2 linked regions of the Styela clava genome follow. The protein of the gene in region 1 purifies or fractionates together with the protein of each later gene. This does not show direct contact. Links are inferred from orthologs where the notes say so. Each region holds a gene or a part of one and is shown on either strand. Other genes may lie near its edges.

Evidence for each region.
Region 2: the proteins of ubiquilin-1-like (region 1) and 26S proteasome non-ATPase regulatory subunit 4-like purify together in Drosophila melanogaster (affinity purification with western blotting; 3 studies listed by BioGRID, with this or other methods). This does not show direct contact. The link is inferred for Styela clava from reciprocal best matches to the Drosophila melanogaster genes Ubqn and Rpn10.

The regions. Positions count from the first base shown.
Region 1 is NC_135258.1:15,528,474-15,545,764, forward strand, and holds ubiquilin-1-like, read left to right. Parts: upstream 1-8,364; 5' UTR 8,365-8,510; coding exon 8,511-10,073; 3' UTR 10,074-12,445; downstream 12,446-17,291. Other genes in the region: peregrin-like, read right to left, coding at 7-412, 633-1,000; uncharacterized protein LOC120339369, read left to right, coding at 12,446-12,682, 12,908-13,044, 13,784-14,000; C-1-tetrahydrofolate synthase, cytoplasmic-like, read right to left, coding at 16,109-17,291.
Region 2 is NC_135250.1:20,475,282-20,491,783, reverse strand, and holds 26S proteasome non-ATPase regulatory subunit 4-like, read left to right. Parts: upstream 1-8,575; 5' UTR 8,576-8,723; coding exon 8,724-9,881; 3' UTR 9,882-10,861; downstream 10,862-16,502. Other genes in the region: translin-associated protein X-like, read left to right, coding at 10,883-11,671. UniProt on the Drosophila melanogaster protein: Binds and presumably selects ubiquitin-conjugates for destruction.

The sequences.
Region 1 (17,291 bases):
AATTACCTCCTCTGCCAATTCTTCAACTGGTCTTTCAATATATCGATAATAAGCCATACGACGTTCTGGAGCATCAGCTGCTTCAGTTCCATACGCAGAGACGACGCGAAACGATGGTACAGGAAGCTTTGGTTCAACTGGCTTTGATTCTGCTGAATTTCCATCTCGTTGAATAGGAAGAGTCACACTTTTCAAGTCTTTGCTGTTGACCGCGGGTTTCCCTCCCGTTTTGCTTTTTCCATTCTTCCCTGCCGGTCCACTGTTTCCTCCATCCTCTTTAGTTATGTTTTTCTTTGAGTCTTCTTGATTTTGAGTATCTGAACTTCCGTCTGATGAATTTCCGCTGTTACTGTCATCATCTTTATCAACATCAGAATCCGAGATGACGTCTAGTTTTTCATTTATGTCCAATCTAGCGAAAAGCAATAGAAAAAATATACATGATATAAAATCTTTTCTAGACATCTTAGTTTTTAATCAAGACTCAAGGTAGGTAAATCATCAGTCTAATACATAAAAATGTTTTCAATTTGTGGAATCTTACTCCATTGAAGTTGAAACAAAATATATAGATTACATTTTTCATTTTGTTTTAAAGTGAATTCAGCACAGCAAAAGCTTAAGTTATATACCTATAAATTTTTCCTTCTGATTCAACTTCAACCATTCTTTGAGCTTCGGCCCAAGTCAGAGTCTCTCGGGCTGGTGATGCAAAACCAATAGGAGATGGAGAGCGTCTAGGTGTATTAGCACTCATTCGTCCTCCTTTCTTTTTCATGGCAAACTTTGAGCGAGGTCCTTTTCGATTTGAATTTGACGGTGTGGGTTTCTGGCTTGGGGTCATTGGAGCTGCATCATGATCAAATTTAAGCATATGATATTCCATTCCAGAGTAACTTTTATAAATCTTCTGACATTTCGGACACTCCCATGGTGGCTTGGTAGCACGTAATGATCGAAGAAATGTGTCAATGTCAATGCTTGAATCCATTACTCCCATTAAATTGATTTCAAGCAAAAAAAGCAGTTTTCAATAAATGACTTCTAATAACAATTTGTTTTAAAATATGTTCATTTTTTCTTTGCCTTTGAATGTTGATGTTATATGTAATTTATTTTTAACTTACATTAAATCAATATAAAACTTCAGAATAATAAAGCAATGTTTTAATCCAAATTAAATAAACACAAAATCCTGAAAAAAAATTAAGTTACTATATTTTTTAAACACAACATCCAGATTTTTCTACTCTACTACTATTACTTCTTTACTGAGCTAGACCATGGTAATTCTACTGTTCTATGCTAGTACCTAAGACAACTGACTATTTTTTATACCTACCTGACTAGATACAGTACAACAATACGACTGTATGATTAGCAAATATTGACACCTATCTGCCTATTACAAATCCTAGGCTATTTAAGTGCTGTATTCAGGTATTTCGAACACAGGAATCCACAACTGATTGTTGCGGTATAGGTATCCTATTATCAGATTTTACACATCCACTAACTGACTAACCAATCTGACAATGTTTTACTAACGTCAGACCTGCAGAACGTTAAAATCACAAGTTCGAATCGCAGAATCGGGCATTACAAGTACCTCATTGCCAGTATAGATCAAACTAAAACTTTTAACATATTTAAGCTATGTTTGAATATATATGTATATATACAATAATACCGACATCACGTTTGAATTTAAATCCAATGCGCCAAAATCCCGCCGAACACGGAAGCCTGAGGTAAGGCCGGCCTATAAATCTGGAAGCGGGCGAAAAATTTTCGGCGAGCCTCGCTATCGCTCCTAGTGTTGTAACTATTCTCTGTACTCATATTTCAAAAAAGGTCACACTGTGGTTAGGACCCCAAAAAAAAAAATTAATACCGATATAAGAAGATTTTATCCCATTTTTCTAATTTCGACCTAAGAAATAATTTCAATGAAATCCATGATTTTTGAGAAGAAAATTTCGGTCTGCTGTGATGATTTGCTGCGTCTAAATAAATTTCTTTCAAATGTAAAATTATTAAAATACGATATTGTGGTTGTTCACGATACAAACAGTCGCGTCTAGAGGATATCCGATAAATTAGTAAAGTGTTAATCATTATATAAAACTTACTTCTAAAATCTTTTATGTTAATTTTGTCAATTTGACTCCCTTACTTTTCATTTTTTTATTTGTTTCGCAAAAATTGTTTCACTAGGAATGACATTATTATTTATTTCCAATAACCAGGTTGTTCTTCTGAGAATATGTTCACTATCACAACTACTGCATAGTCAAAATTTGTACTCCTTAGACTTTAGAGTTTACACCAACCTGTACTAGCGATGTAGGTGTCGCTGCTTGAAGACATCTCGAGGACCCTCTCGACTCCGGTCACACAAATAAGAGTATCAGTATATTTATTTGATGCATGAATTTCTGCGCAGTTATTTACCGGTAGTCGTTGGTGATGACAAATAAACGATTGGCTGACTGGCTTTTCAGTATATTATCGTCGCGGTATGGGATCGATGGACAATTCTCCATCACACTTCATCGTATCTTGCGTCAAGATCTGCTGTGCCTATCACGATAAATTGTACCCCAACATTTATCTCGTATATTTTCGCGATTGATTTTAAAAAAGTATATTATTGTTGCTAAAACGATACCAGCTTTCAAACAATTATTTGTCTACCCCAGACAAAGGTATAAGTTCAGATATACTAGAACAAAATAGTTTTAAGGGATAAGCAAACTATGAAAAAGACCAGATAAATTTCAAGGTGTCGACATCACCGATAATATGTAACAATAATTAACGCATGTTCTTGAGTTTCAGCTTGAAACACAAATAAAAAATATTTAGACGCATAAATGGAGTGTCACTTGACTCATTACTGAAGGCATATCAAAATAGCTTACTTTAATTAATTGCATCGTAAATTGCCTTGTAAATCTGCACGTATGCAAATATGGACTCGACACTTCTTTTACATATTAATATAGGTGTCTGCAGACGTTTCGTTTTGCACGGGCGCTGGGAATAGCGGTGTTTTAAACTCATACCAAGTTGTCTACCGTAATGGTATATTCGATAAATGTTTACCACTTTTATTAAACCAATACCCATAGTGGCGTACGCAGAATTTTGTGACAATTTTATGTCAAATTTTATTTTCACACAACGAGGAAATTCACTGTGATATTTGATTGATATTTTTCTTCTTTATTGTCAAATATTTAAATAACACAATTTTAGTAGCGAAAATAGATAAATTAATTGGGAAGGTAGTTTGGATGAGGAATAGCTCAAAACGAGTAAGAATTGAGGGCGTTCTTAATAAATTCCGTGTACATATGTGTACAGTGTGTGAAAACTTCAGTATACATAAGGTCACATTTCTTAATATATATATTTCATAAAATTCTGTTGTTAGTGATTATATTTATATTTAGTATATAATAATTGGAATCTAAAAACAAGTTCAAATGATGATAAAACATCATAGTATCAGATATTGTGACGTTATAATACCCGTTTCCAGTGCAGCAGGTTGGCCGCGAACATGGTCCTTCCACAAAAAAAAAATTGTTTCAGATATCAACATTCGGATGCCAACTCATTTTAAAAACATTCTGGATCTCATTGAACAGCAGAATCGGAAGCATATTATTAGCCGATACCGAACATATACCAATACCGAAATAAATGCCGATATCAGTACATTTCTATATTTATCCCGGGGAGATGAAAGCCGATTAGACGGCTCAAACATCTTGCGGAACACGGTCACTTGTCCGGTTACCGGTCCATGTAGGGTATGAGATTAGTTAATAACAAGTTATTTGTTTCAGATACATGGACTTGATGGTTGAGAAAGTCGTAACTGACCAGCGGTTATTTGAACCAGCCTGCGGCGGCGCCTCGCCTCGCATATACCGTGTTCCCCCGAAAATAAGACAGTGTCTTATTTTAACTTTCTTCCGAAAAATAACACTTGGGCTTATTTTGGGGAATGTCTTTTATTATCATTTATCAAAAACAAAATTACAAAGTGGAGAATTACGAGATTTTTCGAATATACAAAATATGACAACAACCGATATCCATTTACTTATTAATAACACGTTTTTATTAAAATTTTCATTTATTTATTTATTGAAACGTATAGGAGAGATTCCTTGCCATCGACTATGCCAGGAAAACAAATTCGCACTATCGACTAGGTCTTATCTTTAAAACTCGGGCTAGGTCTTATTTTCGAGGAAACACGGTAATTCTCATCCCGCGCGGGATTCGAACCAGCTAACCCACGCAGGTGCGGTAGCGAGCGTATTCCTAACGCTCAGCGCGAAACACCGCCGAGCAATTAAAACAGAACATTTACTTTACCTAACAAAAGGCAAAGAAGAAGCTGAATGGCGACGTTGGCTGAGATGACGTATTATGAAAAAAAATGAGAGGGTAGAAAATGGCGAATGTAGTGCAATTTTTGTAATTCGGATCCACCTTAGACGAATACTGTAAAGGTAATTAGACGGTATATTATACTGATGCTTCTTCTTTGCCATTTCGCTTTTTATGCCAATTAATCCAAGACCGTGATTCAATTTTGTATGCGGGTTTTTTTTAAATAAATTTTAAATGGAAACGTACATAAGCATTCTTTTTGTTTTCACAATTACAAGACCAGTCTGTCGATGTATTACACTGATATTTCGAAGTAAAATACGTGGTTAGTGCGTCTTAGTATAATTCTTGTTCAAGCACTTTTCCATTTCAGATGTCTTCAGTTATATTTTTTTATCATATAGAATAAAAATGTGTGCTACTTCTATTTTCTTCAAAAATGCCTTCTGTCAATCTAATATAGACACCATCAAACTCCCGATTATGCATAGGTGTGAACAAAATTTCAGAGCCAAAATTTGTTCCCAAAACTTCAATTGTACTGATTAAATTTGTTGTTAATCAAGTTTCTCGACAATCACTAAGCTTATATTTAATTTTTTCTATTTTTATTACGCCCGTGATGTTTGCTGGCATACCTTCCACAGAGATAAACGTAGTTATACCTCATCAGAGCATGAATGTCACATCGCATTGTTATGCATTGTCTCTGGTTAGAGACGCCTGCTAGCTAGTGCACTGTCCATGCTCATTTTGTCATTTTAGTTCAGTGCTCACGACCTCGATTTGATATACTTACATATTATAATAATAAAAAACAAGAGAGCTATGCTCAAATATATGGAAACGCCACAAGTTGTCGCTATTTTTTATTGCAACACATATTGCACACAAGAAAAGAAAGCTCTTGAGGTTCACAGAAATTTTTAAAATAAGTGAAAGTGATAGTCTTCTGGCAAAGCAATCTTTAACCACTGAAAATTTCAAAGCAATTTGTCCTGTATTCGAAGAGCAATTTTATTATGACAACGGAGAAGAAAAACAAAAACAATAACATAATGTTGAAACGATCATTATGTCCACCAAGTGTCCAATAAGGAAGCAATACTCAAATACATGAACACGAAAGCCGAAACAAAATATTTTACTCACAATTTCCCCAAAAATCATATCTTGGACGAAGCTGAAACTGTGGACCATCGTAAATCACCAGTATCGTTACCCGGACTGCCCTAGCTTCAACAGATCCTGTAACAATGATGATTTATGCGTCTTGTGCAACGTGAAAAAAATGGAAATTGGAATATACGATGCTAATTGTAAAATAATTTCAATCAAAAACAATTTCGAAGAGTTATTAAAACTTCAAGTCGGTGCTAATTGAAATCCACTGATTTTGGCTGTAATTTATTGCCGCGCCGCCCAGGCCTGCTGTCTTCGAATATGATAAAAAATAAAATAATCGTTTTTATCAAAACGTGGACATTAACGCTAGGACGTGTGCGCGATATTCGGTATTCTTATAAACACAAAAAACGAAGGTCGCGATATTTGCTTATGAATTCGAATTGGATATCCAGGAGTCATAGGCCCCTGCCACTTCGGCACCTGCAAGTCAGTCATTCCCCATAAAAGTAAAATTCAGCATCACTTATATCGAGTATAAAACAAAACAAAAAAACAGTCGCTTCCCGGGAAATCATAGTGACACTACCTGCCAAATCTCATAAAAAATCTTCAGCTTATTTTTAGAAACAGCTTTTACATCCATCTGTAGTGCTTTCAATCACATTACTCGGTCTTCGGTGACCTCATCCACGTTACTCCTATCGGGATATTTCGTCAATTCGTCCTCCTAAGGTTCAACTTTTTAGTGACTTCGACACCCTCCTTATTCGTCGGAAAAAATTTCATCCACTTCTTCCTTTTAGTGTTCAGCTATTTAGTGACTTCAACAACCTCATTAAATGTAGGGAGAAATTTCATCCACTTCTTTCTTTTAATGTTCAGCTTTTAGTGACTTCAGACACTCAATAAATGTCAAAAAAATTTTATCCACTTCTTCCTTTTAGTGTTCAGATTTTAAGTAACTTCAACCAGCTCATTAAATGTCGGAAGAAATTTCATCCACTTCTTCCTTTTAGTGTTCAGCTTTTTAGTGTTTTCAACAACCTCATTATTCGTCGGAAGAAATTTCATCCAATTCTTCCTTTTAGTGTACGGCTTTTTAGTGACTTCAGCCACCTCACCACCCGTCGGAAGAAATTTCATCCAATTCTTCCTATTACTGTTTAGCTTTTTAGTGACTTCAGCCACCTCACCACCCGTCGGAAGAAATTTCATCCGCTTCTTTCTTATAGTCTTCAGCTTTTTAGTGACTTCAACCACCTCACCACCCGTCGGAAGAAATTTCATTCACTTCTTCCTTTTAGTGTTCAGCTTTTTAGTGTTTTCAACCACCTCATTATCTTTCGGAAGAAATTTTGTCCACTTCTTCCATTGAGTGTCCAGCTTTTTAGTGTTTTCAACAACCTCACCACCGGTCGCAAGAAATTGTATCCATTTTTTTCCTTTTAGTGTTCAACTTTGTAGTGACTTCAACCACCTCACTATTCGTCGGAAGAAATTTCACCAACTTCTTTTATTTAATGTTCAGATTTTTAGTGTTTTCAACCACCTCATTATTCGTCGGAAAAAATTCAATCCACTTCTTCCTTTTAGTGTTCAGTTTTTTAGTGTTTTCAACTACCCTACCACCCGTCGGAAGAAATTTCATCCACTTCTTCCTTTTAGTGTTCAGCTTTATACTGATTTCAACCACCCCACCACCCTTCGAAAGAAATATCATTCACTTCTTCCTATTACTGTTTAGCTTTTTAGTGACTTCAACCACCTCACCACCTGTCGGAAGAAATTTCCTCCACTTTTTGGACACGTAGTGGACATAGCGATCGTTTCAATATTATGTTGTTGTTCTTGTTCTTTGACACGTTTTTAAAAAGTCGCTTTTCTCTTTGATTACTGGACCAATTGCTTTGAAATTTTCAGTGGTGAAAGATAAAAATTTTCTTCAGAAGCCTTTACTCTTTTTTTGCTATGACGTCGTCAAAATTATTGCCATTAGGTAGCGCTACGTGTCCATAATATATTTGATCATAACTCTCTTGTTCTTTTTAGTGTTCAGCCTCTTAGCATTTTTAAATATTTCTCATCTGGGAACACTTCAACCTCCGGAATTCATTCACTTCATCCGTTTCTTCTTTTATTTAGCCTTTTAGTGTTGTCCCGATTTTTTTCATAACAACAAGAACATGACAAAGAATTCTAACAACAACATAATATTTAAACGATCCATTTCGTGTCCAATAAATCTATAACTTCACGTGTACTTAAATATAGATTTCGCTTACTGCACGTAAAATATTGGCAATAGTGGAATGTTCGAGAAGCCGTTAGATGTCAGCTACAAAGCACAATGAAAATTTGCCAGAGTTTTTTAAATAAATCCCACACGCAAAATTCATGTTCCTTTTCATTTATGTATCAACAACATAATGCAGTTTCATAATAAGTTATTTGAGTGCTAAACAAAAACGTCATGACTTTTGTTAACAGTACTGCATTAATAATTTCAATTATTTTTGAAGAACAGTATGTAACAGTCTAACTTCAGATAAATACAACCAATAAAAACAAAAAATACATTTTTATGGTCAATAAAACTGAAGTAAATTATTTAAGTTTACGATATAAAAATATTTTAACGTAATTTATGAAAAAGCTCAATAATAATGATAATAGTCTAAGTCAATGCCATTATACAAACATTTCAATCTTCAATATAAACTGGAATTCCAATACTAAAATTTCTATATCCATACATTGTATCGTATGATGATATTAGGATGTACACCTACTATTTTGCGTATAGGATCTAACTGATATTACAGTGCTGAAGTTTCGCACGCTTCTGAAATCTGGAAGCTTGTTAACTTTTTGTGGTATCATCCTACTCATTTCTAGTTTAGTCTTTATAATTGGACACGTTACAAGGAAGCAACGCGCAATTTTGGGAAATATAAAATAATTTCATCGCTATGGCGGATTCGGAAAACTCAGAACTAATTAAAATTTCGATTAAGACGCCAAAAGAAAAAAAAGATGTTGAGATTAGCGGAAAAGGAACTGTGAAAGAATTACGTGAAAAGGTTGCGGAAAAATTTGCGTCATCGCCAGAAAAAGTCGTTCTAATATTTGCGGGAAAAATTTTAAAGGACAATGAAAGCGTTGAAACGCACAAGCTCAAAGATGGACAGACAATTCATCTTGTAATCAAGAGTCTTCCACAAGCTCAATCTAGTACATCAGGTCAGAGCGCGACATCTTCTCAATCATCTGCATCAACAGCAACCGCAACTGAAAGTCGTCCGAATCAACCTCCCCGAATGCCAGGATTTAATTCAACAAATTTGATGGACATGCAACAGCAAATGCAACAAGAAATGATGCGTAATCCTGATCTAATGCAGCAAATAATGGGAAATCCAATGGTTGAAAACATGCTGTCAAATCCTGAAGTAATGGGACAATTGATGAGGGCCAACCCTCAAATGCAGGCTTTGATAGAACAAAACCCCGAAGTCGGCCATTTACTGAACAATCCAGAGTTGATGCGCCAAGCATTGGAATATACAAGAAACCCAGCAATGTTACAAGAAGTGATGAGGAATCAAGATCGAGCCTTGAGCAACCTAGAAAGTATTCCTGGAGGTTACAATGCATTGCGTAGAATGTACACAGATGTTCAGGAACCAATGTTGAATGCTGCCCAAGAGCAATTTGGCGGAAATCCTTTTGCTAGTCTCATTCAGAACAGCAATAATTCAAGTGGTGATAACAATGCACAAAGAGGTGTTGAAAACACAGAACCACTGCCAAATCCATGGGGAGGTTCTGGCACTAGATCAACCGCAGCGACTACGACCACTCCAACAACAGGTAGTTCTACCAACACGTCATCTTCTGCTGCCCCTGGTGTCGGTGGAATACAAAACATGATGCAGGATATGATGCAAAACCCTAGCGCAATGCAAAATCTTATGTCAAGTCCATACATGCAAAGTGCGATGAATATGATGGCACAAAATCCGCAGATGACTGCTGCAGCAATGCAAAACAATCCCATGATTGCCAATAATCCCCAACTCCAGTCAATGATTCCAACAATGATTCAACAAATGCAGAATCCGGAGTTTCAAGCAGCAATGCAAAATCCTAGAGTATTGCAAGCAATGACTCAAATTCAACAAGGCATGGATGTATTATCACGTGAGGCACCACAACTGTTGTCAGGAATGACATCCATGCCAATGATGCCTCGAGCACAAACGACTTCGACACCATCTTCCACGACATCGACAACCCCATCACAGCAGTCAACTAATCCTCTTGCGAGTGATCCCGAGGCTTTGTCACGGATAATGATGTCACTGGCAGCCACGAACCCATCTGCGAACACTCAACCCCCTGAAGAAAGATTTCGAACCGAACTTGAGCAATTGACAGCTATGGGATTTATGAATAGAGAAGCCAATATTCAGGCTTTAATAGCAACAGGCGGAAATGTTAATGCAGCAATTGAAAGGCTACTATCTCGTTAATATTGTATTTAAAAATTGATTGGATTGATATTTTGTTGTATTAACATAATCCCTGCAACCACATGATATATATCTTATTCTGCAATCAGAAATAATTTACTATATCATTTGTTTTGTAAATAATTACTGTAGCTTAATTGTATTATGTCAGGGTTGGAATTGGAATATTTCTGATCAATTTAGTGATATGACTCAAACAGACTAATTTTATTGAGATTTGATTTCTACTTTGGAGTTGATATTGGCTCCAACTAGGGTTGGTCAAATATTTCTAAGGCGGATTGAATTCTGAACAAGAAATCTAATACACCATATTTTTATTATCAATCTATGACATGACATACATGACAATTTTAATGAAATTACTTGTATCATAAATAACCAAATTAACAGTATTCTTGTATCTTCGTAAATGTCTGCAGGTCTAAATTGAATTTTATAATGAAACGCCAGTTACACTTTAAAAAACTAGATGTAGGTGATACAAATATTTAATTTGATTATTGAAGTCATATTATAATCTGATTTTCTCAACCCCTGGTTCCAACCCTGACATTTTAAAGCATCTTTCGTTTTTATCACAGGATAATTTATTTCCATCCCGTGTACAGGTACTTGCTGGAGAAATTCAGCTTAAGTGGTTATTTATGAAAAAGCCAATAATCATATCTTGATAATCACTTTTGTTGCATTGCAGGCTATATAACTCAATGTGTAAATGTATACCTTGTTATATGAGAGGTATTAGTTGTTTCTCTTGTTGAATTTTGATTTTATTTGTCAATTTTTTTGCATTGTATATATTAGACAAGGAATGAGCAAGGTTGGACATGGTACTTCTTAATAGGAGATTTTCTAAAGTATAATCTTATGAAGGCTTCATTCTCTCTTGTGTTTAGGATGAGACAATGAAAAAATCCTAGTCGAATTCAACATTCTTTGTGTTTGTTTGCTACAAAAACCAACTAATTTTTTGATAATTGCTTAAATTAATCCTTCTAAATAATTTTCACATACTCTTTGATTAGCTGTGTGGAAACTGATTGGTCTTCAGTTTTATTAAAAAACTAACATTTTTTTCAGTCTGACATAATAGGTAATTTTTTTTTGTCTGGCGTGTGCTGAGTAATATAGCACAGTTCGTCCAATATCCATTTTCTAGAAAATAGAATATTAAGATGGCATATAACATTCATTCTCTTACTAGATTTGGAAACACATTGGTTAATCAATATCACTGAATTTATTGCTCTAATTTAAGTCAGCTTAACATATAGTTATATGCTTTTAGTGTATTCGATCAGTTTGACTGCCGTAATTGTAAATAATATCCAGCAGTATTCACCCCATTGTTCCATGTTATAATTCGTTCAAATCCTCATGTCTATTATTCAGTGACTGCTTTACAATTGGAGTCATCAAAATGTGAATATGTAATTGGGTAATATAATAACTTGTGATTCACAAACAGTCAATTCCTCATTACAAATGAATGTCAATGCATAGGTTCTGTTTTGCTAATCGCTAATATATTATAATAACAGCTAATAAATCATCAATGTTTCTTATGTATTTTCTTCAGAGACTGGTGCTTATAGGCATAGCGATCACATTTTCCATGCCTCATTTCTTTGGTTTCAGTGTAATATGTAATATTTCTAATCATCTTTTGATATACCGTAATTTCCAAAGAGCCAATTTTGAATTGTTGAAGATCTTGCTTCGAAAATGCAGAATTGTTGCTTAATTTACGAGTTTTATTCATTTGATGTTAGATGTGTTTGAGTACAAGATATTAATGCATACAGAAAAATGTGACCCCTCGTCTTTAATTACTGGTTTGGCAAAAAAAAATTTTGGTGTGGGCAAAATGCTATTTATATTGGACCCCATGCATATTGAAATATATATTTTAATATTTGTGTTTGAATATTGAGTCATTGGTAAATATAACGGACATTAAAATTGGCTTTCAAATTTCACAATTGCTAATACTGTATTTCATAACTAACTGTATGTTGTATGTAAATGATATATGTTGTATAATATTTGCTTTGTGATTTAATTATTCATTATGCTCTGCCATACTTTCATCTTATATAAGTTTATTTGAAATGTGGTTTTTGTGTTACTACATATAAATGAACATGGGAATGATGTCATTCGTGAAAAATTTGTCAATTATTTTTCCAATATTAATGAGAATGTTATCTATGTTCAAACAAAAGTTTTTTCCCGTAACAGTCTGCTTTCAGTAAATATAGGGAAAAAAACAAGCAGGCAATATGGATGTGGCCCTTCTATGGCTTATATACTCTTATATAAATATAATTTGTGACTGAGTAAATTTGTTATCAATCTTGTGTAATATTATGTCTTTTCAGTGCACTTGCCATCGACCCATGGCATCTTTACTGAGACATGGGTTGCCTCAAATGGTGAGGCGATGCAAACCAAACCTAATAACTTTAGCTGGTAAAAACTCTCCAGTCATCTATTTGGGGATACGGAGAGTGGCATCTTCAAGCAAAAAGGGAGCGTCAGCACCAGTGACTGTTTCAGAAAAAACACCATATGAGATTGAACTAGAAAGGCTGAAAAAGAAAGATGTATGATTACTGTATTTTCTGACAATTTTTGCCTTTGCCTGCCATGTAATTGAGTCAGCTTAAGCAAATTAATGAAAAATGTTGAATGTTTGTGATAGTGTTTTAAAAGTATCGCAATAGACATTGTTTTATTAATTTCATTGATTCAGATTGGCATATCTACATTTTGATGTAATAACTCATGCAACTTAATGATGGTGTCACAATTTCATTTTTGTATTCTAGCCTGAAGAAAAGTTTTATGGATTTTATAAAGATCAACCATATGTTGACAAAATGCAATACCATTCTTTTTGGTTGATTCTATGGTCTTTGACACTCATGTTCCTCTTTCCTGTGTTATCCTATACACCGATGTGGAGGTAAGACTTCGTAATTGTGTGATACTCTTTACTACGGTAATTATTTCATTCATTCTTCATGCTCGAGTGAAAAGGCGAAATGAACAGTTTTTCAATCACTATGAAATGATGAGAAATGCTACCATATTCTCACACTTACTCACTGGACATTTGAGCCAGTAGTTATGAGTTAAGGCTGGTTTACTTTCCTGCTTTAATTTTCATTTAGTAGTATTGGTTAGGCAAGTGCATCAACTTTCATCTCTGACCCAATTTAAAAGAAAGCAGTGAATCATTATTCCGTAAATTGGCTTGTAGTAGACCTTAAAATCGGTGGTATTCGAACTTTCTTTTTCGAATTTGTCAAGTCTCGTGCCCCGCCTCAAAAATAACTATCTAACAACAAGATACAACTAACAGATAGTAAGGTAAAAATATGTTTATAAAAAAAAACGTTGAAAATACGTGGATGGAACGTAAATAATGAAATAAATGAAAAGTTTTAAAAACAAATAAGGTGGGCAAGATCAAATCTAACAAATAGTTTTATTCCGTCCCCTCAAAATATTGTCTATGCTTCTGTGCACGCAATATCGTTTGAGAACCACTGCTTTAAATTTTTAATTTTAATTGCTTGCCAGGCCAAAGACTGTGCTTTAATAAAGACTAAGACTTGTTTGAATTTAACATACCTGAATAAGCAAACCAAATTATTCTGGCATGAATAGTGTCGTTAAACTTGATTTTTTATTACTCACAGGGGCAATGATAGGAAATGGAAGGCTCGGGAAGCACATGCATGGATAGAAAAACGAAGAGCTAATGACGAACCTTTGATAAGTAAAGACTATGCTCCAGCTGAAATAATAGAAGGCATGGTGCCTCCTCCTGGCGATTGGGAAAGAGATTGGCTTATGGCACAGCAATCAGTAAGGCCAAGTGCCACAGGAGTCTACAACCACAATTATACATTTTAAATTGTTGCCAGGCTGAATAAATTAGTTATTAGTTTTGATATGTACGTTTTGATATATCACACAATACTATTCATCATTTTCTGGGCATCCAATATCTAATCAGACTTGTGATGTTTGACTTGCTTTAACTTGTTTTCTTTTCTGATAAGTTCTCCTCAAAATATATTTGTGAATAATATGATTATGATATCTCATAAGGCGAGTTTTTGATAAGCAGTATAACATTACACTCCAATATGTAGAAATGCCAATGCTTGTGTTAGGGCAAGTTTTCCAGTGGTTGTTGGTGAAATTGGTCTACCTGTCCTGCATGATGTTCATGCGGCATCTCGCCCTGCTTTAGCGACTTCTGTCAAATGTGAATCGACGCCAAAGCTTGTGTTAGAGAAGCTTATTCCAGTGGTCATTGGAAACGTGCTTTGATATGACTGGTGAATTATATACCCATTGATTCCGTAAAATCGTATAAAATTCTTTGTTCAATTGCAATAAGGAGGAGTAGTGTAAATAAACTCTTGCTGGAAATTATGAATATTTGAACGGCGGCAAAAGATGGGCATTGGGTTTGCACGTTTAGCAGAGAACAAGAAGCTCATTTTTGCTGCGCCAAGCATCACTAGTACTAGTTAAGGACATTTGTACTTTCCAAAGATATCCAAATGAAAAATATTAGACCCGTTTTTAGGAGGCATCGTGCCGAACAAAATCTGACTTTCAATTTGAATTCAATGAAGAAAACATGCCAGTGATGAGAGGATATAATTCTTACTTTTGTAAATGAGTAACTTCCTCCGTAGATGTTAATATAAATATGAAGAAAGGGAAAGTCTTCTTGCTCGGATGAAAGATTAAGCGCGGGATATATCACGTTTCGATGAGACGGTCATGTAACAAATTCAAAATGCGTCAGCGGTTCCATGTGTTGCTACAGTGATCCCCCCCTAAAATTTACCATAATTTTCAGGTGTGACACCATACTTTAATTTATAACGTAAATAAAAATGTGTTTGTATAATTAAAAAAATGGCTCATAGGCCGGTGAAGATGAACATTTTAAAAGTTACATTACTATAACAAAATATCTACCACCCTCCCTAAAATAAAAATCAAGGGAACATACTGCGGCTTGCTACCACCTCGTTGAGTGAACTCTCGCTTTTAGTATAAAGATTGGCGCTGTGATTTGTAATTAAAGATACTGAACGGGTATTTAGTCATGCATTATGGCAAGACAGACACGTGGGCTTTCGTGGAAGGTCAACGGGACGGCCCATTACCATGGCAACAATACGCACTGGTCATCTTATATGTAATCGACTACACACATTCATCTTATACAGTAGTTCTCGCGTGATTACCTGCCGATCAACAATGGTTAGCAAATTGAAACTCCGGGGTTTATTATTTTAATGGTGCGTATAACTGGCTTAGTTTTGTGCACCCGGACTGTGATATTGAGCGTTTGGTGCTCAAATGCTTCGACCCGTTACGAGGACGTATTCTATAACAAATGATATAATTCTGGGATTTGGTAGCAAATTGATAATATTCACGGGGCCTATATTCAGTTCTTTGCAATGATTAAGTAAAATTGATCTTGGGAAGTTATAACGGGGACAATTTAATATTAAATGTTCGACGGTTTCGTTTTCCGTGCAGGTGTCGCAAAATCCATTTTCGTGTAGTCCAATTTTATGAAGATGAAAGTTCAGACGACAGTGGCCTGTTTGTAGTCTGAACAATAGTATTTTATATCTTCTAGATCTCAGGGGTGCGATGTTGAATGTACAACGAAGGTGATCCTTGGTCAAGATATTAACGATAATGCCACACGCTTTTGTTAAACATTTATTTTCAGCTAGGAAGTAAGAAGGCAGACGGAATGATTAGAAATCAAGAAAAAGAATTATCAACATATCCCCGTCTTGGCAATTATTCACTTAGCAACGGTCTTGATGCATATTGCTTTTTATCACTGGAATCGGCATTAATAATAGCCATGAATGGTTTATATTTTTCCTGATTGCTAAGTTTGTAAAGAAAATGAGATTGCAACTTGATTGATTAGGCAATTACTCCATAGTTATTTATTGAAAAACCTTTTAATTTTAGAACAGTCCTTTAATTTCCATTGTTTCTGGGTCCAATGAAATATCATAAAAGCATGGTCTAGTTGGAAGCCCTGGCATCGTTGACATAGTCCCGATGAGTGGGTAAAGAAATCCAGCTCCGACGCTTGCGCGAATGTCTCGCACTGGTAATGTAAAACCTGTTGGTGAACCTTTCAACTCTGGCTTATGAGAAAGAGATAGATGAGTCTTTGCCATGCATATTGGTAAATTTGCGAAACCCTGTTTGGTATATTGCTCTACCTTTTGCTCTGCTTCTGGTGACAGTTCAACCCCATCAGCTCCATAAATTTTCCTCGCAATAATTTCAATCTTTTCCACAATAGGCAAATTAACATCATATAAAAATTTGAAATCTGTTGGTGCATCTGCTGCAGCCACTACAGCACGAGCCAGGTCAGTGGCACCTTTACCCCCAAGCGCCCAATGTGTGCATGAAACTGCATCAAAAGCACCTGCCTCGCGTGCAAGCCTCAATGCTAGTTCAACCTCATTCTGTGTGTCAAATACAAATTGATTTAAAGCAAAAACAACAGACACACCAAAATACTTGGCATTTTCAATTTGCTTCCGAACATTTGAGAATCCCTTTTCAACCAAGTCACATTTCTCTTCAAAATATTCTTTTGGCAGTGGCATTCCAGCTGTGACATTTGGTCCTCCCCCATGCATCTTAATTGCTCTAATTGTAGCTACCAGCACAACAACATGAGGTCGAAGGCCAGATTGTCTGCACTTTATGTTGAAAAACTTTTCCATGCCAATATCTGCTCCAAACCCAGCTTCTGTAACAACAATACCTTCAGGTCCTACCAATTTTAAAGCAATTTTATCTGCAAGGATAGATGAATTACCATGAGCAATATTTGCAAATGGTCCAGCGTGAACAAAAACAGGAGTGCCTTCCAGAGTTTGCATCAAGTTTGGCTGAATAGCATCCTTCATCAGAACTGCCAAAGCACCAGTGATGCCGAGATCATCAGCACTGACTGGATCTCCACTCTTGCTACTACCAATAACCATATTTCCAAGACGTTTGGACATATCAGTAACGTCAGTTGTCAGAGCCAATACTGCCATTATCTCACTTGCTACTGTTATATCAAATTGAGAGTCTCGAGAATAACCTTTCTCTGTTGGTGATAATCCAATTGTTATCTTG
Region 2 (16,502 bases), on another chromosome or scaffold:
TGGCTGCCAAGCTAGATCCAGCAGTTGAGAAGTACTTATTAAATTCGGTTGCGATTAAGCAACCGTCTTTAACTGTACTGCCATTTTCAAGACATACTTCAGCTATCGAATGCTTGGAATTATTTTTTGTGGTTGTGATTTGATTAATGATTTGCCACGTAGACCTGGGGTTACCCTTGGTCTGGGAAATAAGATTTTGGTAGTGAATTTGCTTCGCTTTGTCTAATACGGAAGTAAGTGTGTTGCGATACTTTTTGAAGTATGAGCGTTGCAAGGGGGTTCCACGTAAAAAATGGGTTTTAAACAACTTATTTCTGTGTTTCATACAAGTGATTAACCCTTTGGTTAGCCATGGCTTTAGCCTCAGCCTTTTTTGACGACGCGATAGAGGTCGAAGTGGGGCATGCCGGTCGATGGTACTAACGAATGACTGTATGAATTCGTCAAATGTGTTGTCAAAGTTCTCAGCAGTTATATTAATTGAGGAAAATCGATTATTCATAATGTTATGTACCTCAGATCGAAAGGCATCAATTGAGAACAGTGACATATCTCTTGACAATACACACTCATTCGTTTTTGTGGGTCTAATGCCTCTTAAACAACAAAGTATGGGGAAATGGTCAGTTATATCGGAATGCACGACAAAGGAGTCAATTTCTAGATGTGTCAAATTGGTGTACATGTGGTCAATAAGAGTGGCTGAGGTGTGGGTGACTCTTGTGGCTTCGGATATTAATGAAATATCATTGTGTGACACAAGCATATTAATGTAATTTGCAACTTGGGTGCTGTTAGTTGCTGAAAATAAATTAATATTAAAATCACCAACAATGAGGAATTTTTTATTAGCCAATTTAGACAGGGATTGTTCGAGTAAGTTCGTAAAGTCGTAGATGTCATTGCGTGGGTATTTGTAAATAATACCGATTACCAGGTTATCTATAAAATTTTCTAAAGAAATTTCAAACCATAAATTTTCACAATTAGAGTACCGAATGCTATTTTCTATGGTTACAGTATAGGTAACATCATTTCTAATATACGCACCTACGCCTCCTGCTTTAGTAAGAGATGGTGCATGGATGAAAGTATACCCATCTATGTTAATATTTGAAGAATAATTATCAACTAGTTTGGTTTCACTTATAGCTATTATGTGTGGCGGTAATGAGAAACAGGATAATAAGAAAGTTAGTTGGTCAAGGTTTTTATGGAGAGAGCGAATATTAGTATGAAAAATAATAAGATCAGAAGACATACGAATAGAATTCAATTTCGAAACTTCAATATTGTTGCAGACAATGTTAAAATTGTTGGACATTTACGTTAAGAGAATAACATCATGAATTTATAGAGAATCAGTATAAGAAGATGCGAGTAATAAAATATTATTGCAACTGACCTATTTGATGAATGCTAGGTCATTCTCATTTCTGATTTGTCTTGTTTTTGTGTCATCGTTTTTCTTGACAAAAATTCTCCCATTGTTAGTCCAAAGGTATTTGTATCCACATTGTCTTTTTAGTTCCCTTGATTGAAAATAAAGCGATCTAGCTGTTTTCGTTAAGTTCTCCGCAATGAAAATTTTGGAGAAGTTGAAGAATTTATTAGGGTCTTTTGCTGTTCTCAGTTTTTTTCTATTTGTAATTATGTTGGTACGGACTCTCCTAGAGGTGAAGCGAGCAATTATGGCAGAAGGTTTATCTGAGTTATCATGTGCTAGTCTATGTGAGTTGTAGATATCTGCGGTGGTAATGTTCACTCCAATGATCTTTGACAGTTTACATACAAGCAGGTCGGTGTTTTCGTTATTATTATAAGCTATACCGTGGAACTCGAGACATTCCAATCGTGATCTTCTCTCTTGGTCTTCAACACGGTCTTCCAGGTGGTCGCAATCATCCTCAAGGTCTTCCACAAGTTCTTCTAGATCTTTAATCTTTTTCTGCTGTTTTTTCACCATATCTTGTGTGGATTTAAGAGATTTATTAATCGAGTCGAATTTATCTGATAAGAATTTTTGGCTGTCCCTGAGGTCACTCTGAGCTTTAGCAATCACACTGAGTTCGCTTCTCATATCTTTCAATGAGGAGTCTAGTGAACTCAGAATGTGTTGAAAACTAGACTCGGCAACTCTTGAAAGATCCGATGGACTGGATGGTGTTGTTTTGGTGGTCAAACATTCATCAATCATTGATGGCAATTGTATCAGTACTTGGCGAAGAATAGTGCTTGTTATAACCGCCATTAGTGCGCTATCTTCCTCCTGTGATGTACTTGGCGAATCAGGAATTGGACGCTTGGAAGAATCCATACTCTACAAGTCTACAGTATATTATCCTAAAGTTTCTTAATCAAACAGCGAAGGTTAAGACCACATGTACATGACCACATGTAATTGACCACATGTACACCAATTTGACACATCTAGAAATTGACTCCTTTGTCGTGCATTCCGATATAACTGACCATTTCCCCATACTTTGTTGTTTAAGAGGCATTAGACCCACAAAAACGAATGAGTGTGTATTGTCAAGAGATATGTCACTGTTCTCAATTGATGCCTTTCGATCTGAGGTACATAACATTATGAATAATCGATTTTCCTCAATTAATATAACTGCTGAGAACTTTGACAACACATTTGACGAATTCATACAGTCATTCGTTAGTACCATCGACCGGCATGCCCCACTTCGACCTCTATCGCGTCGTCAAAAAAGGCTGAGGCTAAAGCCATGGCTAACCAAAGGGTTAATCACTTGTATGAAACACAGAAATAAGTTGTTTAAAACCCATTTTTTACGTGGAACCCCCTTGCAACGCTCATACTTCAAAAAGTATCGCAACACACTTACTTCCGTATTAGACAAAGCGAAGCAAATTCACTACCAAAATCTTATTTCCCAGACCAAGGGTAACCCCAGGTCTACGTGGCAAATCATTAATCAAATCACAACCACAAAAAATAATTCCAAGCATTCGATAGCTGAAGTATGTCTTGAAAATGGCAGTACAGTTAAAGACGGTTGCTTAATCGCAACCGAATTTAATAAGTACTTCTCAACTGCTGGATCTAGCTTGGCAGCCAAGTTTTCTAATGACATGTGTGAATTTAAGCCATTTCTTCGTAACCGTGTTAGTAAATCAGCTTTTATGACTTTGGTCACAGAATCCGAAATGATAGTGGAAATTCTAAACTTGAAGGAGAGAAAGGCAGTTGGGCCGGATAACATTCCTCCCCGCTTCCTGAAATTCGTTGCTGACCCGCTTGCGCCGCTTCTAGTTAAATTGTTCAACTGCTCGCTCTCGCTCGGAATTTTCCCCTCATCCCTCAAAGTTGCTCGTGTAATTCCTCTCTTTAAATCTGGCAATAAAAAACTTGTGTCAAATTACAGGCCAATTTCAATTCTTTCGTCAATTAATAAAATATTTGAACGTCTAATTCATAATAGGCTCAGTAATTTCTTTACAAAATATGACGTGATAAATAAACATCAATTTGGTTTCCAGAGTAATCACTCTACGTCTCATGCAATTTTAGACACCATCTCTTACATTTATGACAAATTAGAAAAAAAAGAATTTGTTAGTGCTATATTTTTAGATCTCAAAAAGGCATTTGATACCGTTAATCACAATATTCTAACCCAAAAGTTATGGCATTATGGTATCAGAGGTATACCAAATAAACTTCTCTACAGTTACTTGAGTGGCAGAACTCAATTCGTTCAAGTAGGAACCCACTGCTCCCCAGTCTTACCAGTGACTCACGGGGTCCCACAGGGTTCGACGTTGGGTCCATTATTATTCCTCGTCTATATAAATGACCTCACCCACTGTTCTTCTTTCTTCGCAAAACTATTCGCTGACGACACTATACTTCTAGATAGTGACAAATCTCTACCAGCTATACAGTCACGAGTGAACTCTGAAATTGTAAAAGTGGTTAATTGGATGAAGGCTAACAAATTGACATTAAATATCGATAAATCTAAGTCTATGCTTATTTCACCAAATAAACATGAAGCCAATCATAACTTATTAATCTGTATTGACAACATTACATTAGAAAAAGTCAATTCTTATAAATATCTGGGCATATATTTAGACAGTCAAATGAAATGGGATATTCATATAACTAACTTGGCTGCTAAGTTATCTAAGTCGGTGGGAATACTGTACAAACTCAGGCATTTTATACCAATTTCGACTTTACGTATGGTTTACCACTCGTTATTCCAAGCCCATATTCAATACGGTATTTCTGCATGGGGCTCCGCTGATAAAACTCTTTTACGCAAAATTGAAATAATGCAGAATAGGGCCATTCGTGCTGTGTCTGGCAGTGGACCTTATGCCCAACTTGATCCAATCTATTATAAACTTCGTATTATTAAAATGGTGGATATTTATAAATTAGAGATATTGAAATTGATGCACCAACATCACAACAAAAAACTCCCTGTTACATTCACTGATTATTTCTTGAAACAAAGCAGCGTGCATTCTTATAGAACACGATCCTCTGCCAGTAGTTCCTATTATGTAACTCATTTTTCAACCAAACGTACTCAAAATTCGATAAAATATACAGGCGTTAAATTATGGAATGCTTTATCCGATAACATTCGAATTATGAATTACAATTCATTCAAACAAGCTTTGAAAATTTTTTACCTGGATTCCTATGTATCCTTTTAGTCTGCTTCAATAAGTGGTATAGATCCCTTATAAGTATAGTAGTGTACCGTATACAACCCATGTCCCCCACCTTTTGTGTGGCTCGATTTTTCTATAACTGGTCATTCGGTCCAGGATCTCTATTTTACCTAAACGATCGTGACTTTTTTCACCTCTTAATGCCATTGGCATTGTCACCATTTTTCTTTATTGTCCTCACAGAGCACGACCATTATCACTGAGTTTGCATCATTGCCCAAAGTACATGTGGAATGAACTTTTCCCATCAAAACTGTTTTTCCTGTCTGAATTGTACTTATATATTTATTTATTTATATATTGCCGTATCAGTACCGATACTTAATCCAACCCGGCTTCCCCTGTTATGGTTGCTGGGAATTCCCCTTCAGTTGCTAAGTTTCTGCAGCGTCCTGCCAGTCAACAATTTCATATTGTGATTGCGATCACCCGAGCATGACGCTGCGAGACTGACATACTGATTTATCGTAAACGCGTTTTTTCTGACTTTTACTCGACACGATGGATATTTGTTCCCATTTAAACATTTCTCTCTCGATTCCCTTCACATTTCTTTTTAAACCATTCTCTTTTGACTTGCTCTCTCGATTCGATTTACGTTTTCTAAATTTCCCCTGAGCTAACTTAATTCTAGATTAATCATTTCTTCCCCGACTCTCTTGATTCCATTCATACTTTTTATTTAAACTTTTCTCATTTGGCTTACTCTCTCGATTCGATTTACGTTTTCCAAATTTTTGCCCTGATCATACATAACTCAACCTTAATCAGCTAATGGCTAGCCGGCTACCCATCAGAATTTTCTTTCAGATCACAAAGTCGCAATATTACGCCCCGCTAAGTTTCATTGGCAACTGTATTTGGTTGTAGTATCGGTGTCCAACTTTAGACTGAAACCTTCACTACCAACCCCACCGAAACAAAAAAATTTTCTTGATAGGGTCGTATTGAAGTTGCTTTCGTTCAAGCACAATAGACACTTTATTTCCACCAATCCACAGTAATCACAAGTTACTTTGTCATTACGTTAAGCACCAATAAATGGATGCTGAGGTCTTGTGCCACTGTGGTCTTGCCACTGTGGCAACTTATACTTTGCCATCCATCTATTCCATGGTCACACCCATATCTGTAAGATAAAGGATACAGATTCATTTGATATCATGATCCTGCACTAGCTTTGTAATATTTGTAGAGTTTTCGTAAAATTTAACAATCAAGTGGTGTGAAATTTATGTCCATATCCCACCACAAACACTAGTCGTAAATGAATTTGATTCCGGCTAGCATATCTTTTTTTACCAATGACAATAAAAAGACATTTTGGGACAGTTGTACAAGCACCTTTAGGATTGCAGGTGCAACAACTAAATCATATGACGAATCACAGTCTCTCGTACGATTACCAGTCTATGTTGGGATTAGTTAGTCAGTTATTTGTTCTCAGAAGCATGGACTTGGATGGTGGGGGATGGTCGTAACCGATCAGCGGTCGTGTGAACTGCAAGGAGGAGAGCTGCAATTCTCTCGCACATAACTATCCCCTCATGGGATTGGAACCTGTGAAACTACCAGGGTGATCAGAGATGCGGTGGCGAGCGTATTCCTAGATGGCGAATTCAATTGAATTCTGGTTATTTTTTGCATGACCACTGGTGTTAAACTTTAGTTATCTATTCAACCTCAACCGTTCACTCTCAGTAATAGATTACCTGCTAACTAGTAACTAGGGAAACAATACATTATGGCAATTGATGATTAAATTCCTTACACAAGTCAAGTCTGCAAGTAGGTCTAGGCCTACCAATAACAGTAGTCTGTCATCTGCTTTCCATTGAAATGAGAGAGCTTATGGATATTTAAAAAAATTGATAACGGCACATTATCACTCACCATCAACGAAGTGCTGTCCGCAAACAGTGAAATACAAGCGAGATGACTTCTGGACTTGACACCAACACCAAGCAGTCCTGCCAATAGATGATATCCACATTGCACGACGTTCCGGATCTTTTGAAAACAGGTGGAATATAACTGAAGATCCATTTCGTTGTCTATACTATACGTACAGCCAACAGAACAATACGAAATAACCATTTTCAACAGCCAAACAAAACGGAAAAGTATAATCCGACTTGCAACTGACAGAAGCCAAATGGACGTTTTTGTTTTTATTGCCGTCCAGTAACGAAGTCACGTGACCCGTGCAAGTCCTCTATATGTCATTGGTAGGCTATAATCTGCTATTTGTGAGAATATCTATACGTGGGTAACAAAGCCCTAAAATCCCGGGATTTTTAGGAAATATTTGCGGGATCGGGACTGAAAAAAAAAAACAGTTCAAATCCCGGGATTTCGGGATCGGGTTTTCTTGGGTCCCAATGAGCATATATTTGCTCATCGCGGGTCTCAACTCTACGAGCAACTTCATACCCGGGACCCAATGTGACGCCAAATCGGAACAAAGTAGAAGTGTCATATGTATAATTTTGAGCGATTATTTGATTTTATCAAGTTTCATGCTTCTGATATTAGATTAATAAAAGGAATTCAAAATAATATCCGAACTAGGGTTAGTTCGGATACCTATAATTTATACTATCCGGATAACGGATATATCCGGGTATTTTACCTATCCGGTTAACCGGATAGTTAGTTACTGCTAATTTCAGAGAACCGATTTTACAAGATTTTTGTGGCGAATTGACTGAAAACCACCACACAGTTCTATTGTAAATACGTACATATGTATTATTTTTCTCGAATAAAAATGATTGTGCATTTTGATGTTGCATGTGTCAATAAATAAAAATTTAAGCTCTGTAATCGTACAGAAGTGCAGCTGAATAATATAGTGAAACATTGTTTTAAATTCTGTGTCCTAATTGTCTTCCTCTCGACTGCTAAGTTATTTTCTCATATTCAAATCCTATGTAAAAATTTATATTATTCCTTTTTTTATTGTTAAATTTTTTGGAAGTTTTTTTCTGTCTAGACATATAGCATATTTTCTTTAAATTTTGACTCCTACTAAATTTTGGTGTCGCAGACTCACGATGACCATTTCTTCAAGCTTTTAAGTTCAATTAGTTTAACATACACCTGACTTAGATAGAATAGATTTATTTTCAGCTGGTATATCTTTTGATTCGATTGATACAGGGAAATTTGAAAAAACATATATACCAAAGTTAAAAGGAAGCACATAACATTTGGTTGTGTACCCAAAATTTTGAAATGCTACACAGATTACATGGAATCGGAAGTATTGTGAAATAAGTCCTCGAAATTCAAACTGGTTTACTTCATGATAAAATGCGTTCCTTCAATACACGCAACAATTACTAAAAGCCACACCCGACATAAAAGCAACAAACTCACACCCACCCAACCAATACTTTTCAAATGAATTCGTTTAAGTTAGTCTTTCTTAAACTGTACCTCCAGTTCAAATCTAACTTTATAAAGCGAATAAGCTCTCCTAATAAGCGCAATAATCACATTTGTTCTGCGTGTTTTGTGATGTAATAGTGAAGTTCACTCCAGCATTCTACGGATGGCTAAAATATATATAGGCAGATTAGAGTGGAAAAAGTTGTTATTATATGCTCTGGGAGATGTCAGTCGCCACTCAACAAAAAATATAAAAACCGCTAATCGCGCATATGTATTATTTATACTGCTCTATTATCCGGTTAACCGTCACAATAATATCCGGATATCAGATAGCAAAATAACTCTTGGTTAACCGGTTAACCGCTATCCGGATAATCCAACCCTAATCCGAACATAAGTTTGAGGCCAAAGGTCGGGGTCACTGATCCGAAAAATAAATTCGCTGTGTCATGAAATAAAAATAATGCTGTGTTACAACTGAACCATTGTGATCCTGTAATACAGTAATAGGTGTAAGTTAACAGTCGGCGGATCAACTAGTTGCGATCTTTTTTGTCCAGTATCTGAAAGTTAAATCGCGCTGAAGTAGACTAGATATCAAGATGGTTCTCGAAAGCACAGTAATATGTATCGACAACAGTGAATACATGAGAAACGGGGATTATTTGCCAACAAGAATCCAAGCCCAACAAGATGCCGCGAACTTGGTATGCCGTACAAAATTACGTTCTAACCCTGAAAACAATGTTGCGCTACTCTCTCTTGCTGATGTTCAAGTTCATGTTACATTGACAAATGACTCAGGAAAGTTGCTATCAAAATTACTTTTAGTGCAACCTAAAGGGAATATTAGATTCTTAAATGGCATCCGTGTTGCACATCTTGCATTGAAACATCGTCAAAGTAAAAACCATAGAATGCGTATTATTGCCTTTGTCGGAAGCCCAATTGAAGACGATGAAAAAGAAATAAATAAAGTTGCGAAAAAACTTAAAAAAGAAAAAGTAAATGTGGAAATAGTAAACTTTGGCGAAGAAGAGTTGAACACACCAAAACTGACTTCGTTTATCGAAATACTGAATGGAAAAGATGGAACAGGATCTAATATTGTCAATATACCTCCAGGATCCATGCTTTCTAATGCTTTAATGAACTCCCCAATTATTGCTGGAGAAGGTGGAGCTCCCAGCTCTGGCGGTGGTGAATTTGATCTTGGATTTGACCCAGCATCGGATCCAGAGCTTGCTCTTGCTCTTCGTGTGTCATTAGAAGAACAGCGTCATCGTCAAGAAGAAGAAGCTCGAGCAGGATCAGAAATCCAAGAAACTCAGTCAGCTCCAGCAACTGCAATGGCAACAGGCACTGGTGAGGATGACATGTTACGTGCGGCTCTCGCAATGTCAATGAATCAAGAGGTACCAGCCACTGCACCTCCTGGTAGTCGCCCTGTTGATATAAGCTCTATGTCGGAAGAAGAACAAATAGCATATGCAATGCGCATGTCAATGCAAGAAGAAAGCTCACAATCTGCCATGGACACGGATGAGAAAACAATTTCTGAGTCCCCGATGGTGGCTGAATATGGTGATGATGGAGATTCGAATGAAGAAGATGTAATTGCTGATCCAGCGTTCCTGCAGAGTGTTCTACAAAATCTTCCCGGTGTGGACACATCGAGTGAAGCAATACAACAAGCCATGGATCAACTTGCTCAAAACAGACAAGATTCTGATAAAGACAAGAAAAAAGACAATGAATGAATTCTGACTACGCAATTATTGACACAAAACTGTTTCGAGAATATTAATGACGGACATAAAAAAATTTTTCATTCTGCCAAATTTCAGAATAAATACTGGCTGGCGAATATTATTGTGAGATATCTCTCCACTATTTCATTATAATATGATACCACATTCACAGTATGTTCTTGTAATTTAAATTAGAATGGCTGACTGAAGTTCTTTATTATCAATCAAGTGATTTCGCACTATCCACTTCTCCACAGATTTAAACACTACCTGTTATAAAGAGATATTGAAGACACTTACTTTGGCAAAGAACATCTTCACTTAATTGTTGAATGTTGTGATTATTCATCCTTGTAAGCTTTAGGTATTTTACAAACCTATACTGGCAGAATGCAATTCTTATTCTAAATGCTTCTATGACATACTATTGTCCATGTTAATATTTGAGTTCAACATTGGATTTTTGTGAAAAAATTTGAGAGTAATAAAGTATTTCGTTACAGAATTCACAAATTTTCTGATTTTATAGAATGAATGGTATGTGTATTCATCCTTTTAAAAATTAGGTCTTCTATCAAAAGTAGCAGCAAACGAATATTTGTTATCTAGATGCTTATATTACATACTAAGGTCCATTGAGCTTTAATAAAGTTATAATTCATGAAGAAAATATGCCTCAAACAAAATATCTGAATTGAAGCAGTAATTAAATTATCAGTTTTAGACTGTCAATTCATCTACTTGGGATATTGCTGTTAATTTTCAATATGATTTCATGCAGCCCTTGAAAGTTGAAGTTGCTCCAAGTGTTTCTTTTTGGGTGATTATGCTGAGAGTGTGTTCTGTCTACATTGTTCAAAAACATTCTTTTTCCAACTTGACATACATAGGTAGCTATTTGAGTTAAATAAACAGCTTTCAAATGCAATGAAGGCAAGATAAATGTAGTGTTTACTTATTTTCGTTTTGTTTCTGTAACCTATAATTAGTGGTAACATTTATTATCTCTGATGGATGTTATCGATCAGTTTCAATTATTTCAACAAGAATTGGAAACAAAACACAACAAATGGGAAAAAATTGTGAAACTAAGCCGTGACATAACGATTGACAGCAAAAAATTGATTTTTCTGTTACACCGAATTGATATTACATCTCCAGAAACAAACTCAAAGTTCAAAATAATTACTGAGGCTGATGAAAAATGTGATATTATTATGAAGAAGTGGAAACAAATTGCTACTGAACTGCAGGATGAGGATTCGCATGCGTACATTAGAGCATTCTCCCCAGGCCTGCAGGAATTTATTGAAGCAATGTCTTTTTTGTACTATTTCAAAACTGAAGAAAACTACAGTATACAAAGCATTTCCAACTGTTTACTTGATCTCAGTGAGATACAAAAATCTTTGGTTTTTGCAGATGATGAAAATAAAGAACCTTTAGTCATTCCAATACCAGTGTTGGAATATTTATACGGCATCGCTGATACTACTGGTGAAGTCATGCGCTTATGCATTAACTCTGCTGCAAAGGCGATCACTGAAACTTCGAAAAAAAAGGTGTTCAAGTTATGTGCTTTTATACGTATTTTATATGAAATGTTTCTGTCTTTTTCATCTATTATTGACGTATCACCAGGAAGAAAAAGATTGCTGCAAAGCAAGATCGATGTTATGAAGTCGTCATTACAAAAAGTAGAGGATACTTGCTATCAATTAGGCCTCAGAGGCAAAGAATTACTAGACGTTATTCTAAAGAATTATGAACCAATAAAAGTGAATGAACCCTCTGGTTAATTTAATTAATTTTTTAAACAAAACCTGATTTTAAAACAAATTCTTTAATTCGAAATACCCCGCTTTATGATAAATATTTTTCCTTAGAAATTATTCCAAGTAACAACATAAGCATGTTTTCCAGTGAGAATCTGTTTAACTAATAATTAGAAATGGTATGATTTTATCAGAATGTCTATTTTCCTGGGATTCCTATTTTCGTGCCGTTTCAGATTTTTAGCTAAACTGATAAAAGCTGGCGTGAAGATTCCGAGAAATATTTGATTCTATTTAACAATGATCAGATGTTCAATCATATACATATTACATATCTTCCAACCAAGTGTTCGATATTTTGCATGATTTACTTTTTAAAGTTGGCCCCTTCGTTAATTTGTGGGCTTGAGTGTATGATTTTGCCGTACGAATCAAAGGACCGTATGAAGGGAATAAGGCTGTTCGGGTATTTTCTGGATCATCAGAACTTGCAGTGTAGATCGAAATGGGCACAAAAGACGACATTCGTTTTGTAAACTTATCTAATATACTAACTAGAACATCTCCACGCATGAAAGTGAGTTAGGTGTACGAGCGTTTCCGTGCAATCTACTAAATGATTTTGAGTTTGTGGGTGAGAATGACTGATCGATTGTCTCGGCTGTATATCTTGTGATGATACTTTGCGCCACATTCGACTTTGAGAACACGACTGGTTTGCCTGAAGATCGCAAGGAAGAGTTCAGGTTTCCCTATCGCAAACGTTCTTGTTCAGACCCATCACACTACTCCTCCCCAATTCATTCCTCATGCGATTTGAAGTACTTTCCCGGCACTGTATGGCGGGGAAGTAGTCCGTGGTGTGTTCAAACTGCGCTATTGGTAACGATTGATTCCAAATCGAAGTTTTACAGTTCTGTGATTGTCCTTAATGTGAAGCAGGGGTGTGCAACAGTGGTCCGCTTGCCACAACCCGGCCTGTCAAGCCATTTAGTGTGGCCTTTGTCAACACTCAGATTTTTTCCCATTATTCACAAAATTCTAATCCGACAGTTTGTTTTAAAAGGCGCTCACATGGGTAAAAATAAATAATGTTCTTTGCTGTTGTCGGCTGTGGTATATATTCCGCCGTTTTGCCCAGTGCCGTTATCACTCTAATTCGTTGTGTACATGGAACAACTAATTATTTTTCATATGTCCCAGCTAGATTTCTGAAGATGGTTATAGGGCCCACCGACAAAAATGTTGCACACCCCTGATGCTAGGTATATCAAAAATATCGTGTTCCTAACTTGTATCACTTGCCCACACGTACAATTATGAATGTTTGTTAAAATGTCTGAAATTATTGATTTACCTTTTGACATCATTCTTCGATACTGAAATAAACCCTTATGCGTAATAAAGGGGGTGTCTCAAAAATGTTGTGTCCCACTTGCCACACGTGTCCCACACCTGTATTACTTGTCCCAAGGGTTGCCAATTTTGACAAATTTCAATAAAGAATACTGTGACATATATTCTCAAGTTTTAAATTAATTAACTCTCCAACTCGAAATATGAAGAAAAACAAAGACAAACTATTTACTGGCTCTTCGTCGACTTCAATAACTGTTGGTCAAGTTTTATATACGTTAATGTTCCTGGGTCTGAAAGCACAAATGAAACTATTTTTAAAATATTACCACACATGATTGAAACTTTTTAGGATTGTGTACCACTTGCTGCTTGTTGTTTTGCATTCTGCGAACGGTTTAGAACTTTGAATCATGTCATAATTTTCTTGAATTACTGAGATTTCATCGAATAGGTCATATTTAATTAAAGAAATTATCCTATCTTTTAGATTTTCCACAAATAATTTAATAGGGAATTGCAGGCAACACTTATTTTGATAATTTTGTAAACGTTGCATTTTCATAAAAATCAAAATTTTTACAAATATGTTATTGCTGAATTAAAAAAAATCTTCAAGTCGTCAGTCGCTTCGCGAGTCATAAGTCAATATACATTTAAAAGAAGTTGGTGTACGTTATATACAACGAATTTTTGTGCGTATCAGTATTTCAACTTATTTTTCTTTTAAATTAGTCAAAATAATAATAACATCTGCTACTGATGTTTCATTTTTCTCAAGTTCATGTCATCTCAGCACGGCGGGCACGCGCTCTTCCATCTCGTTTCTTCCAGCATCTCAAGTGGAATTCTGAGTCGTCCTCCCACACTTCCGGCAAAGGCAAACGAAACTTGTGGTTGGCGATTGTTTGGTGTTTTGTGTAATTTTTAATAATTTATTTACTTTTAAATGTTTTGCAGCTCCAATTCCTAAGACGAATTCCTAAAAAGATAGAATTTTATAATTGTTAAATAATTGTTCAATAATTTCGATCAGATTTTTGTTGTTTAATTATAATCCCATTCGTAATAAATAAGTAATAACAATATTAATCTATCGCTGCGAGCAAGCATATTCTATTTTTAACAATATTTGAAGTTTTTCCACCAAAATAACATTGCGCGTCTGCACGAAAAACAGGAAAGGGCACGTGTTTCCGATTAATTATTAATAACGAGCTGTCATTGTCAGGTGTATCATCATTTGTTACATGAACATTATACAGCTATCGCCCCCACAACATATATAAGGCATAAATTAATATATATATGTTTTTTATTGAACTCAAGTAAACTGATCTGAATTTTTCTTGTAACTCCTGAAAGGTCAAATAGGTTTTATAAACACTTTGATCTAGAAAATAGCATACCCCAAGCAGTAATGATCAAAACATGGAGGTGTCCATATTATAATATTGTGAAAAAATAGTCGTGGAATTAATAAAAAACTTTATAAAGGATATTTCAATTTCCATTGTATAGGCAAGTATCATGAACACGGAACAGCACTTGACGCAAATGCCAATGTGATCCCCGCCATATAGATATAGGTTGCATACCGATTTTCCGATGAATATAATTTTTTGGACACTATTTTATGCTCAATCTTCAGTCCTAAAATGATAGAGACACTTCAACGGCTTAGTCTTCCTCCATAATGCAATAAAATGTTCTTCAGTTGATCCGATGCATTTAGATATTTGATCCGTTATGTATATATCCAATGCTACAAACATACGTCATCGCTACTTGTACGCGAAAAACTTAGGCGAATCGAGTGCTTAGTATCCGCATAGTTTGTGATATCTACTCCGAAATATCGTTGGGTAAATAAATACTTTTATATTCAGTATCAAGTATATCTATACTAGCTATGAACATACAATACAAATCAGTCCAGCGTACCTTACGTCGTATGAATTAGCACAGTCCGTGAGAACATACGTGATATAATGGGCTACTTTTCTAACTTTCCATTATGTAATTCATGCCCCGAGGTGTGTAGAGGGTAAAATCCTTATAATAGGCTTAAATTGCCATTGTAGAGTATTATGTTAGTCTAATTACGTTTAATCATGTCGATACACTGAAAATAAACTTAACGAATTTATCAGACGGGATAATTTTGCAATTCCACCACTATATTCGACGTTTCGCCAGATTTTATATTTGCACGAGTTGAAATCGACCACACACTAAATACCCATGGCATTTGGCGATAGGAATGTCGGTGATCTTTTTGGAATTTATCGTGTTTTATTTATCCGGCCCGGTTATTTGGCTTAGATTTCATCAGAGTAAATAATAAACTTACAAGATAACATAGCCAGCACTGTTGGTTAGAGCTATATTTTTGAAATACTGAACTAGAACGGTTTGAATGGCATCAATGTGAATAGGAAAGTCTTGTTTAGTATATAAAGGTTCTTTGTTTTTATTCATGCATTCAAAGACACTCTTTGGCAATTGGTGTTGTTTGAACAACTTTGCAAGATAGTGAAAACTATTTATTCTTTGCGATGAAAGTTCTAAAGATTGTGTATCAAATGGAATCTCCCTTTCAATACATGCCATAAGCCAAAGCGAAAATAACAGAAATCGTGCGTCAGGAGCGTGGTTGCTGTCACTACTTCCTGCCATATAGTCGATCAACTTCGTTCGATTAAACGTGGCTCAAATATTGTGCGTATCTCAGGTGTGCGATTGATCACTGGTCCAATCTTAATCAAAGAAGAAATATATGGCACCAAACAAATTCTTTTTCTTTGAAGAAGTTTCGATGTAGCAGTCACAAAGAACGGACAGCTTCATTACACCTTTCTGGCTGTTATAACTTAGTCTCTCGATTTTAGACACAAAAACTGAACGACGATATGTAGATAATTGAGTGCTAGTGAAGTTTATTTTTACAATACGACATGCATTTAGATAGGACTTTTTATGAATTGCTCACTGCTATAAAATATTGAGTGCAGAAAGGACGATAACCACAACAATATACTTTTTCGGCCACCCTTTCAAACAATGTTGAATATACGGTAACTGAAAATCAAAACATATCATGTGAACAGAATGTGAATAGGATTGTGGCGAACATCTCAAATCGCAAAGACTCAGTTTCAACTTCCTTCTTCCGCTTAGAACTCACAGCCTTTCGAGATGTATTCATGTTCTGTTGGATCGCAGAGTAATATAGAAAATGGAAATTCAATCCAGGAAACACGTTATAAGTGCTAAACCACAATGTGGATGGTGTACGAGGACGTGATTTGGCCTGTCTGGCCAGCATTTTTCTGGAAAGAAATTTAAGATTTGTATTTCAGAATCGGTAAAAAGTATACAGTGTAAGATATTTCGAAACTTTAAATTTAATTGATACTCTAAAAGTAATCCTTGAATATTTCGTCATTTCAAATATCGTATATAAAATGTGTGGATTCTGCAGTTATGAGAATTAGTA